Daphnia pulex: one gene and its partners. The main gene of each other region encodes a partner of the protein of the gene in region 2 in a complex. Links are inferred from orthologs where the notes say so. Each region holds a gene or a part of one and is shown on either strand. Other genes may lie near its edges.

Region 1 (4,305 bases), on a different chromosome or scaffold from region 2:
TGACCAATAGTTCTCGAAACATATTGAGTAGTTTAGGGTCACGTAGCATGTCGCACTGAAAGAATTCCAACCGATTTAATAAAACGCTTTTTATTACGAATAATTTGAAACGTCAAATATTACCATTGTTCCTCGTGTAGTGGTTGCAGTTCGCCAATCGGGCAAATTGTTCAATAACCTCAAAATAAAGGTGACTGTCCATTGAATAAGATGTTGCACTGTGATGAGAGTTGATGCCTCAACTGTAAATTCTTTGACTTCCAAGTGTAGCAACACTTTGTCAACTTCAGTGCCGACCTCTGGAACTTTGGAACTCAACACAGCTAATTGAAAATATTGAGCACATGTTACATGTATAGAAATGGATGTTTAATCATTAATTATTTACCAGTAAGGCTATCTGCAGGAGCTCTATCTTGATTAAAGAGCTCTGATGGTGGCCTCAGCAGCGATTTCAGTGCGTAATATACTGAGTTAAGCATAATAATACCGTATTGCAATCCGGCCTTTGAACTCGCAGTTGGACCCAACCTTTTAACCAAAAATTGTATCAATTACTAATGGCACTCGTAACAAAATTCTATTAGTTACCTGAAGATAGCCAATTTAATATTGAGCAATCTATATTGCAGCAATTGCTGTAATCCAATAGATTGCTGGTTGAAGGAGTCGGTTAATCGTTCACACAGGGAATCCAGCATCGTCGATCGCAAACCGATAAGAACGTCCCAATAGTCGATACCAGTCAGCAGACAATACTCCAATGACATTAATGCATAAGGAATGGTGACCGAAGCTCCTACACATAATTTGTACAGTTTAAAACTTATTTCATTCAGATATTTGCCGAAGACTATGCCAAAATCTTACCAGGATCTGTGATGGGAGAAAGTTTGCAGACAAACATTGTCGCAGTGTTATCGAAGGCAATCAATGCATTGCCAGTGGCAGTGAAACACGCCGAGCTGACCGTTTTCGATTGGGCGCTTTCACATTTCGACCTATCCACAATGCTGAGGTGTCCAACCTGAAAACGTACCGTGTCCACATGAAATGTTATTAATTTTTGCGCTATTCAACGTAATCTAGATAGACAATATCTACCTGCTTCATACTCTCGCGATATAAGCACAATAACTCTCCACATACTGTGGCGATGACTAAATGATGCTGTGGAGGGCTACCCGCTTCTTGGCCGTTTACCCAGACATTGCGTGACGGACAGACGTAGGTGATTCGACTGTTGCAATTGAAAACGGACATACACTGCCACTGCAGGAAGCGACTCATGGCAGCCGAAGTGGAGAAGAGTGAATGAATCGTTCGTTCAACTTCTGACAGCTCCCAATACTGCAGAGTTCCACTATTAATTCCATTTACTACTAGGAATATTCCCGATGGATCTTCTCGTGAACTGAAATTCACACCACATACACGCATTTCGTTGGCTAATTTTGAAAAGAAAGACACCTTCAGTATTTAAAAACCAAAATCAAAATGTTCGATATTTCAAGCAAATTTACCTCCTGACTGCAGGGGGAAAAGTCCAGTGAGTGTTTCAGAACGAAGACGATATTCATCAAGAAGGCAACTGAATTCCACTCCGTCATCTTTTTGAATGGTAAGCTTGCAATATACAATCGGGTCCAAAGGGATTCCCGTGCATGCTACGGCTAATATTTCTCCATCTGAAAGACCGTACATGAGTTAAGAAACTGGTAATGAATTAATTACTCAACTACCTTTTGTCCAGGCAAGATCCACAAAGGAATATGCTAATCGTATTCCGCCAAGAATTTCTACATTTGTTGTTTTCCCTTTAGTACCACCCATCACAAAAGCTTGCACAAGGCCAGTCATTCCAACAACAAGAAAACCTTGTAGAGGACGACCTCCGAATCCGCGAATAGTTGGTTTCATATCTACTTGAATATACTTGTCCAGATATGACACACTTTCCCGGTTTTGGCAATTTAAAAATGTCTAAACAAATTTGAAAAAAAAAAAAAAATGTAAAGGGTTAATTTGAAAAATAAAATTACTTCAACTGTATATTACTTTCTTTCCGTTAAAGAAAAACATTCCAGCCTGGATTGGCTCATCTGGAATGCAAATGTTAGCTACTCTGGTCCATTCATTCAAAAGATGTGTGAGTGTTGTCCAGATTTCTGCATTTCCCGCAGTATCACCGATAAGCAAGTAATGACCAGATTGGTCCCATTCCAGAACAGTTACTTGTGCCACACAGCTCTTAACACTAGAAAATAAAACAGAATAACTTTTCAAATTTTCTGAACTAGTTGTTAACATTTCAAACTCACATATGCGTATCCCATGGGGTATTAGCGTCACAAACAACAACATTCATGTTTTGGTCACTTGGACCTGCTGTACTACTCTTCAGTGTTCCATAACAAGCAAATGCTATAACATTTTGAGGAGACACGGCACACGCTGTGACCCCAATATCAGACTCACTGCAAAAGATAACCACATTTTATTAAGAGTTATACAATATAATATTAAAAATAGCACTAAATAGAATGTGAAGGGGTTATCACTTTTCCCACGGAGAATTGCCCGTGTTTAATCGTTGGCGTTTCCTGGGGCTTTCTTCATAATGACTACGTCGGACAACAGCGATCAGATCCATAATATATGGAAACACGAATTCAATGCAGAGATTAAGACAATCTGCAAATCAAGTAAATATTTTTTGGATGACAGAAATCAACGCGACGAATAGATAAACATTCAAACAACGTTAGCAGCCATTCCAAAAAGACCTAGCAGACGCAATATTTCTCTGAGCTCTGCGGCGCCATCTAACGGAGCACATTACAAATGCGCTGATTTGATTTTGATTATTTTTTCCACATGAAACTCGCACGAATCGCAAAAAATTATAATTTGATGTATACGTATAAATGTTTTTGAATAAATTATATTAAATAATTATAAAGTACATTTTATTTGGTATAAATTTTCCGAAATTAGTAATATGCAAATGTAGTACGAGGATAGATTGCAAGACGGGAGTCTGAGTAAAGAAGAGCAATCTAGTTTGGGCATTCAGTGTGCTCAGTTGAATTGATTCAGTAGTCACCACAAGATTAGTTAAGAATGTCTGAAGTCCCAATAACACATATCTTACACAGCGGATATTCTCACGCGACTCTACGAGCATGGCAAACTTCCGATACAACAATTAAACCGAACAATTTGATGTACCCTTTATTTATAGTGTAAGTAACTAAATGCAATTTCATTATAAAAATTTAGCCAGACATTAATTTACTCTTATATAACATAAAGAGATGACCCTGAAGCAGAACAGGAAATTAGTGGGATGCCTGGCATTTATCGATTCGGAGTTAATCGTCTCGAAAATCATTTAAAGTCTGCCGTCGCAGCGGGATTAAGTTCTGTCTTGTTATTCGGTGTGCCATTTTCAATGCCGAAAGACGAATTCGGTTCGGCGGCTGACCATCCTGAGAACCCAGTCATTTTGGCCATCCAAAAGCTTCGACAACTTTTCCCCGATCTACTCATTGCGTGTGATGTAAGTTGTAGCGCAATTTTATTTAAAATCTTAAGTAATTCCACTACAATGTTATAATATTAAGGTTATACAGATTGAGGATAGAAAATTCAGGATAAATGTTTAGAGATAATTCTTTGGAGTTTTAAGTTTTGGTTAACCCTGATAGTCAATCTTATCTAGTTTGCTTTCAAGTTCATCACAAACTAGCCGGTGGCGTATCAAGTAACACAAGTCAGGCACACACAGATGTTCCATGAATAAACAAAAAACCCTACAGGCGTAACTGTCATCCAACAGTTTTTCGATAAATAACGTAGCAAAATGTTGATTAGAGTTGTTGCTGGACAGGCTACATATTTCTACTATGCAATGCCCGCTAAGATCTGACTTACTTTTAGAATTATTTATCCAAATTGCCAAATTTCGCTACCGCTGAAATCTGACATTTCCAGTACCGCAGTGCGGTGCTTCAGTAGTGCAGACTAATATGAATATTGTCAGCTACGATCGGTGTCTGGGCTAATTCGAACACAGACCAGCTTCAGTCAATGTTTGAGAATTTTCTTTATCTAACGGAACCCATCCTTTTTTATTCTGTGGGAATCACGCCTTGATTTATCTGTAAATGCAGGTATGCATTTGCGCATACACCATCCATGGACATTGTGGAATCCTCTGTGACGACGGTACCATAGATAATGCTGCCAGTGTTGCAAGGTTGGCTAAACAAGCATTAGCATATGCCAAATCAGGTATTACTT
Region 2 (3,639 bases):
GCAGCATTTGTTTTGAATGTTTTAAACTTGTAGAAAATAATTGTATATTTTCTTTTTTATCTAGGTAAACATGAAAATGCGCAGAGAAAGATTCTTGGACGTGCCTCTTTGCGCCACTGATTGTGATGATTGGTTCAATGCTTGCAAGGATGATTACACATGTACAGACAATTGGACATTAAACTTCAAATGGATTAATGGGACCAATCACTGCCGACCTGAATCCGAATGTCGCACCTTTTCCGATATCTTTCAAAACTCATCTAATTTTTGTGAAAGGGTAAACAGTATTAACATTCTCCCTAGAATTTTGATTACATTTTTATTTTCTAAAAGGTTTGGGATCATTCATGGAAGTATACCAATAATTCAGAGCCCTGCATGCGTATTTGGTTTGACGGTGATCAAGGCAATCCTAACGAAAATATTGCACGATGGAAAATCCAACAAAGTAACAGCGCGGAAACGTTTTCAACGAAGCCGCTTACATACGTACTCCCCGCCTTGATGTTGTTTCTAAACTACTAGAATAGAGAAATTGCGTTCTCATTTTCATTGTAAAAGAAAGCATGTATTAAATAGTTGATCATAACACAGTTTTTTTTGTGTTTTTCAGTTTATAAAATGAGAATGATAATGATAATCAATTTGTCACACCCATGGACTGGTCATTTGTGCCCTGTATTCCATCCTGTGATTGTGCTGACGAGGGAGGCCTACATAGTTATCACAGTGTATTAAACAATTTTAAAATTTTATTCTTTGCAATGTGATCAAATAAGAAAGAATTGGGATCTAAATAGGAAATTGAATATCCTACCGACTTGGCTGCGTTTTGGGTTTAGGCATTTTGGCCAACAAACCCTGAATTTCTTTTTTCTCGTCGTAGGTCTTGTAGAGATCGTACAGAGCCAGAATTTGACGCGTTATTTCTTGAATTTTATCCGTATCGACGGCAATTTCCGCAAACCAATTTTTCCCGTCTTTCTGAAGCACAACACAAGCCATTTGCATGGCAGCTAATACAGAAGAAAAGAAAGAAATAAATGAAGTAGAGTTCACATGATAAAAGACAAAAATAATTCAAGCTAACCCAATGCAATTTGGTAAGGGGGGTACAGAAGAGATATATCAGTTCTTAGGCTATCATTGACTATTTTCCATGACAATCCAAGAAGATCTTCTTGCCCAATGTCTTGAACAAATTGGACAAGTGGTCTGTGTGGAAATTTCAAATGAAAACATTATTACATTATGCTTTAAATTTTCTCAGAAACAGTTGATCACCTGTAAGGTTGGTAAACAACTAGACAGCAATCCATGTTTTCCAATAAATAAAATTCACACTCAAGGATGTGTTGTGCTCTGTAGGGAAACTCTTGAGGATAGGCATAGTTGAACTTTGACTTGACTGTTTAAGAAGTTGATTGAATCACAATAACAAATTTTGTCTTATGAAAAGATCACATACCAACTGATTGACATGTTGTGATTAATCTGTTGTTCGAAATTACACCAAACTCTTCGACTTTTGAAGCCAACAGAATGCATGTGGGGGCAAGTAGCAGTGGATCAATGCATTTCAAGGAATTCCTGGCATAAAACCGCTTGAAGTAAACTGTGGCAGTCGCTATGACTTGTTGTTTGAGTTTCAAATGCTCACCAAGAACCTGGATGACTAACATGAGAAAGACACTTTTATTATTCAACATTTAGGAGATGATTCCATAGTTAATATAAACTTACAGTTACTAAAGAAGATGAAGAGTTTTTGATAGTCTTCCTCCGTGACGATGGCGAAATCCCCTTGGCGTTCTCGAACCAAATCAGAAGGGTCTAGTAGCCACTGCTGACTAATAATAAAGTGAGTAATTAAATGTGAATCAAAACGTTAGACAAATAAAAACTAACCAATGCGAGCTTTGCCAGAAATTCCCAGCCATACTCTGCGGCCGAGGTTTAACTTGTTTACTGTGTGTAAACGATGCTCGACACTGTTAGGTTAGACGACGTAAGGCGGCGCTTATTAAAATGTCGCCGTGCCCGGATTTTCTAACATGGAAGCCTTTTCGCACCCGAGCACGCCAATAAACGAAAGAAAAGAAAACATCGTGATTTACTGATTTAGTGATTTGTGAACGATCGTATTCGTGATTTTGTTCTGTTTTTTTTAAAGTTTTATTAGCGTTCAACAAAACAAAACATTGCATTCCATTTGGTTTTAATTAATTAATTGTAAACTTATGACTTACTGTATGACTGTTTTTGAGTGATTAGGATGATGACGCAATGAGTTACTTTGGTTCGACGTAAATAAACATGATTTAATATTTTTGAGACTCATTACACAGCGTATTTGTTTACATATTATTGTCGCCTAACGAAACGTTCATAACACAATGTTTGTTACATTTTACAAAGTTACAAACGATCCATGAATAATTGAGTATGTAAATTTGGCTACTAAACACGAAGGAATTTGACCACTTGTCCGTTTTACAACAACGAGAATCATGAGTACATCAGGCCGAAAAGAAATGCGTTGCAAAAAAATAAGAAAATACAAAATGCGGAATGGACCATTGAGTAAGAAAACAGAGATGATACAAAATATGTGTGGGCTATATGACGATATGGACAGTCAGAGAGAGTTTGAATCCCGTGGCATCGGCACGAACGAAAAATACAATCAACATTCAATGGAGCCTATACACAAGACATGAAAATATTTTAATATCATCAACACAACCGATGGGGGGAAAAAATCATGTGACATATCTCCCGCATCAGTCAACAGCAACGATGGACAGGCCAAGAAGCAGAGGCATCCTGCATGAATAAAGAGTGTAGCCCCCGTGAGAATTGACTTGAACGATTCTTGGCATGCGTCCGGCGTAACGTGAAAAAACAAAAACTATTTCAAAACGTGCCGTCGTGAATTTTTACAAGTCCGTGACTTGTTGCTGATCCGGCGGGATCGTTCGTTGTAGGTAGTCGTCGTTGGAGAGGTCGGTGGAGTTGATTTGCCACTCGATAGGTGGCAGCTCCAGCTGATAGATTTTACTGAGTCGCTGTCGATCGTGCGGCTGGATGGATCCAGCTCTCGATCCGATTCCGGTGGCCATTTCCACCGAGCTGAGCGAGCGCTCCATCGCCCACTTGGAGCAGGGGACGTAGCGGAGCAAACGGGCGAAAGCCAGTCGGAAATCGCGGTTCTTCCATCCGTAAATAAATGGATTCAGGGCTGATTTCCCGAAATACAAAATCATGACAACCTGCCGAAAACAAACGGCAACATTGAGGAAAAGAGTTGCGTGTCGGTTACACAACAACAGCTCGGATAAAGAAAATTAAACTGTTTAGCATGTTTAGATCCGGGTTGAGCCGGTTGTAAAATTATCACGGTTTTTTCCCTATTGTTATACATGTTGTTTACAGGGGATTTTAAATTTTGCCACGCACCCATCTAAACGTAACAAATTCAAAACTGAGAGCGAATTTGAACGAAATGTCGTAATTTGAGAAAAAACCCCAAAACAAATCAAATAAAAAATATATTTTTTAAATTCCTTGACTGCTATTAAAATTTAAAAGTGGTTGATGAAACTCAACCGCGTTTCCCGTTTTATGCGGAAATGT
Region 3 (4,144 bases), on a different chromosome or scaffold from region 2:
AAACACCCGACAAAAGGGCAACCAACCCAATGTGCTTTCTCGCTCACTTCTTCTTCTTCTTCTTCTTTTACAAGGAACTTGGTGATATTCCATCAGGCTCACATCATCCCCCCCGGTAATAGGATACATCTTCTTTTATTTCCTGGTGTGGTGGCTGCTGCTGCTGCCCTTTTCTGTGTTAAACCAAATCAATCCAGCTCGTGAATTATTCAACGCATTCCAATCAACTTATGGACGCTTCTTTTCTTCTTCTTCTACTTCATGTATAACCTCCTCCTCTTTCACCTGATATAAAAATATTTTCTCTCTTTCCTTCTCTTTTGCGCCATCCCCCGATCGGAATGTCTTCATTTCGGACGGACGGACGGGGAGATTTCTCGACGAGATCTTCTTTCTCTCGCCCCCCTACCGTAGCACAGAGGAAAGGTTAACCAAAGGTAATAATTTACCTGCCTTCCTAGTTCTTTTTTTTTTTTTTATTTTTATCATACGAAACAAACGGCTTTCACCCCCCTGTAGGAAGGTGTGGTTATACACCCGGGGTAAAATCAGAAAGAAAAAAGAACGGGGGAAAATGTTTTATACACACGAGCCCTTAACGATTGAAAGATCACAAATAATAAAACACACAGGAGAAAATGAAGTTGGACAACTTCAAAAAGAGAAAACGTTTTTTAAGACTCTCTTTTCTCCGCGTCTTTTTAAAGGGTCATTAAAAAACATTTGGTTAAAGTCCAGAGGGGGCTCCCACAAGCTCAGATTTCATCATTCCAACTTGATCGTTTTGGAAGAAAAAGAGAAAAAAATAAAAAGATGAAAATGTCCGCGTTTCTTTCACTGATAGATTCTCCTACTTCCCAAAAACTCGCCAAGTTGGCCCGTCCTGTGTAGGTGTCAGCTGAGAAAACTCGTACGGGGGTGCGGAGAGATTCAATTTCACAGATGAACGGCACAGACTGACGGCCAGATGTAGAGAGGATACCAAGTGGGGGGAACGCCGGAAAACAACAGAAAATCGGCGAAATCGGCAAAAAAGAAGAGAGGAGTGTGCTCGCGCTATGGTCTTCTGTTGGAGACGGGAAAAGATATTGCGACTATTTGTTCCTTTTTCAACATTTTTTTTTATTATTTTCGGTCCGAAACTGGCCGGCCCCCCTCTCTATTTCCGTGACGACACGAATCACGCCCAAGATTGACGACAACAAGAAAGTTTGGGGGGAACGGTTCCCTCCTCTTCAGATGCGCTCCGGGAGGGGGGTTTTCTAACAAGAAGAAGGAGGAGGCTTCGTCGCATATATATCTCTACTACTCCTTTTTCCCTTGTAACTTATTAAAACATTTCAAGAATGTGTCGTGTGTATCTGCTGGCTCCACCCCTTTTGATTTCCAGTCGCTTGAAATGTGTGCGAAAATGGAAACTAATTGTGAAAAAAAGGAATGAAGTGGAGAGAGAGGGGATGAAGCTATTTAAATGTAAACATGTCGAGACAGAGCTATTCTCGGTCGTTCTTTTTGCCAAGTGGTGCACACAAGTCAGCTGATGGCCCTGTGGCGTATCAAATACGCTTGACATCGAATTGCCGAGTTAGACGAGAGAGAGAGAAGAGAAAGAGAGTCGAGAGAGGCTACGGATCGATGAAACAAAAGACGCCAACTGTATCAACGCTCAGCCTTAACAGACTTAAGAGACAATAAGGCGGCGGCGGCGGCAGCAGACGGGCAGATTCAACGTCGCGGAATGGCAGTAGAACAATGCGGAATCGAAATACGAAATTCAAAACAAAAAAATTAATAAAAAGAAAAAAACAAATTTGTTTTTTTTCACGAATTGAATGGACCGTATGTCATCGGTCCCAGAGGCGTCCGTGAGTCAAAGAGCCAAGGACGGGCAAGTATATATGTTGACAGCTTGTCACTAGCGCACGTAGGACGGCCTACCTGAATTACCCGGCAGAACGAATCGTTTTAGGGGGAAAAAAAAGCTAGCTTCACTCGACACGGTCCTTAAATAAAAGTTGGAATAGCAAAAAGGGAATAAAGAAAACTAAGCAAAGAGTTTGGGAGGAAAAAATAAAAGAGGTAGAGACATCCATATGTGGGAATGGAAGGGGAGGAAATTTACAAGTCAGGTAGTGTGTTTTGCTCGTAAAAGGTGTTTAGAGGATTCGGATATCTCGTGTGTTACGTGTCGAGCGGATGGTTAAAATCAAAAGAACTCGGTGCCCTCCACATTTGAGTTATTCAAATGTAGAGATGGGTGGTGCCATCTGGTTATGGGAAAGCTGAACAGTTCCAACGGTGGACTTGGAGCTGGTAAAGTGAGCAGCAGATGGGTCTGCTGTCACAACTTGTTTACCACCATGGACTTGAATCGGGAAAAATGTAATAGAAGATTGTGTTTTTTACCCAATGATGCAGTAGAACTGTAAGTTTCACAATCCACGATGAAGGATCCACTAAGAACAGCTCCCAGAGCAATGGCCCGTTTGGTCAACATTTCAATAACCTGAGGACCGGACTTGCCTTCAGGAACAGCAAACAGTTGTAAACTAAAATTGAAAAACAACATCAAATTAGTAATTATTTCATACAAACTTGTGATTCAATTAATGGTTCCTTCATTTGAATGAAATGTGATAAAGCTGAGAGACACTGAATGCTTTACTCACACTATGACACCCATGATGTTGTTACAGGGTCAACTAGGTAAATTCCACACACAGTCGACTCCCCGAAATTACACCTGAATGTTTATATTCTATTCCTATACTTAATTACAAAACAAAAAGATGAAAAAGAAAGTCACGTTTGTTTCAAAACAAACTGCTTTTCGTGCCTGTCAGAAAGACCGGCTTCGATATAAGTATCGATATGCTCCTTAACAATCGATCAATCGATTTTCCTTTTTCTTGATTTTTACTATTTAAAAATAGATTGGGGAAAAGTCGGAAAACGGGAACACAAACAAGAGCTGTGAAACCTTGAAGCATTCACACTCCTCCCCTTGACAAAAACAAAAAAAAAAAAAACGGGTGAGAAATATCATCCAATATTCACGTACGACAGTTCTGAAGTGAGAAAAACCTCGCGTCGAGCATTTGTAAGAAAAAGTGGGTGGGAACCGGATGAACACTATACTACAAGTGAGCCGTTATAGAGTGTGTGGCCCGTCTCGAGCTATATGTCTAAATAAAAGTAGCTGCTCAACATTTATCTTGGGGTTTCTTTGACGACAGGCCCATAACTCTCTCTTTTACTCTTAAATTGTTACACAACATGCAAATATACCCACGGAGCTCTCTCTCTTGTACCGCTGAATGTGCGAGTTTGAACATATGTAGTCACAAAACCGCTGACGTTCGTGTGCGGATAACATTCGAAATTATTTCTGTTGATAGTGTGATACTCGGCGTTTAATAAACCCGCTCGCGGGTATTACGATGGGGTATTATGTGCGCTCGACACACTCCCGCGCGCAAAGATGAGGTCAACCGATTCCACCGCATACATAATGGGATCTAGACTAGAAACCGGCGGCGCCTATCTGTGTGAATGTCCGTCGTCGTCGTGTGTATTATGAGCGGAATAACAAAATCTCGTTCATGTCTGTCCCCCCCCCCGTCGTCGCTTATCTACAAAATAGTCCCACCCCCACCCCCCCATACATACATGTATGGAGAGAGTTTATATCTAGGAAGTTGGTGCACTCGGTTCAGCGAACGACTAGGGTTGCTAGGAAACCATTGATCCATCCCTCAAGGATATATGTGCATGTGTAAAAAAAGAGGAGTGGGGGGGGGGGGAACCGGGCTTGCGTACTAACTGATCCTTCTCGCAAATGGTGAGAACAGGAGGAAAGAAAAAGTCAAAAGGGATTTTTTTTTTTGAAATTTATTTGTTTCGAAAAAGAAATAGGAAACCATCCAGTCAAGAGAGGGGGGAGAGTACTGTAAAACAAAAAATCTGCCAGTTGCTCGCTGGCGTGCCTCAGCAGCATCCGGAATCTTCTAGAAAAAAAAAATTTGATTACCAATTCATTTCTTATTCCGGTCGAGTCTCAAAGTGAAACTGGTGGCGCGGTGTGTTAAAAGGAAAAGCGAAACGCGCTGACCCCCGCAAGGTGAAAAAATAAAATAAAAAAGGG

What was found.
Region 1: cyclin-C-like (region 2) and mediator of RNA polymerase II transcription subunit 16-like share a complex: the UniProt entries of both Homo sapiens proteins name them as parts of the mediator complex. The link is inferred for Daphnia pulex from reciprocal best matches to the Homo sapiens genes CCNC and MED16.
Region 3: cyclin-C-like (region 2) and mediator of RNA polymerase II transcription subunit 20-like share a complex: the UniProt entries of both Homo sapiens proteins name them as parts of the mediator complex. The link is inferred for Daphnia pulex from reciprocal best matches to the Homo sapiens genes CCNC and MED20.

The regions. Positions count from the first base shown.
Region 1 is NC_060021.1:618,237-622,541, forward strand, and holds the start of mediator of RNA polymerase II transcription subunit 16-like, read right to left. Parts: upstream 2,813-4,305; 5' UTR 2,654-2,812; coding exon 2,562-2,653; intron 2,478-2,561; coding exon 2,322-2,477; intron 2,258-2,321; coding exon 2,059-2,257; intron 1,984-2,058; coding exon 1,743-1,983; intron 1,689-1,742; coding exon 1,524-1,688; intron 1,449-1,523; coding exon 1,105-1,448; intron 1,028-1,104; coding exon 871-1,027; intron 800-870; coding exon 592-799; intron 532-591; coding exon 389-531; intron 324-388; coding exon 124-323; intron 56-123; coding exon 1-55. Other genes in the region: delta-aminolevulinic acid dehydratase-like, read left to right, coding at 3,124-3,245, 3,316-3,562, 4,176-4,296. UniProt on the Homo sapiens protein: Component of the Mediator complex, a coactivator involved in the regulated transcription of nearly all RNA polymerase II-dependent genes.
Region 2 is NC_060017.1:5,572,554-5,576,192, forward strand, and holds cyclin-C-like, read right to left. Parts: upstream 2,072-3,639; 5' UTR 1,944-2,071; coding exon 1,912-1,943; intron 1,854-1,911; coding exon 1,747-1,853; intron 1,679-1,746; coding exon 1,472-1,678; intron 1,412-1,471; coding exon 1,288-1,411; intron 1,219-1,287; coding exon 1,094-1,218; intron 1,020-1,093; coding exon 821-1,019; intron 717-820; coding exon 644-716; 3' UTR 550-643; downstream 1-549. Other genes in the region: folate receptor alpha-like, read left to right, coding at 65-280, 337-528; adenosine receptor A2b-like, read right to left, coding at 2,943-3,275. UniProt on the Homo sapiens protein: Component of the Mediator complex, a coactivator involved in regulated gene transcription of nearly all RNA polymerase II-dependent genes.
Region 3 is NC_060026.1:11,663,770-11,667,913, forward strand, and holds the start of mediator of RNA polymerase II transcription subunit 20-like, read right to left. Parts: upstream 2,867-4,144; 5' UTR 2,684-2,866; coding exon 2,670-2,683; intron 2,550-2,669; coding exon 2,407-2,549; intron 1-2,406. UniProt on the Homo sapiens protein: Component of the Mediator complex, a coactivator involved in the regulated transcription of nearly all RNA polymerase II-dependent genes.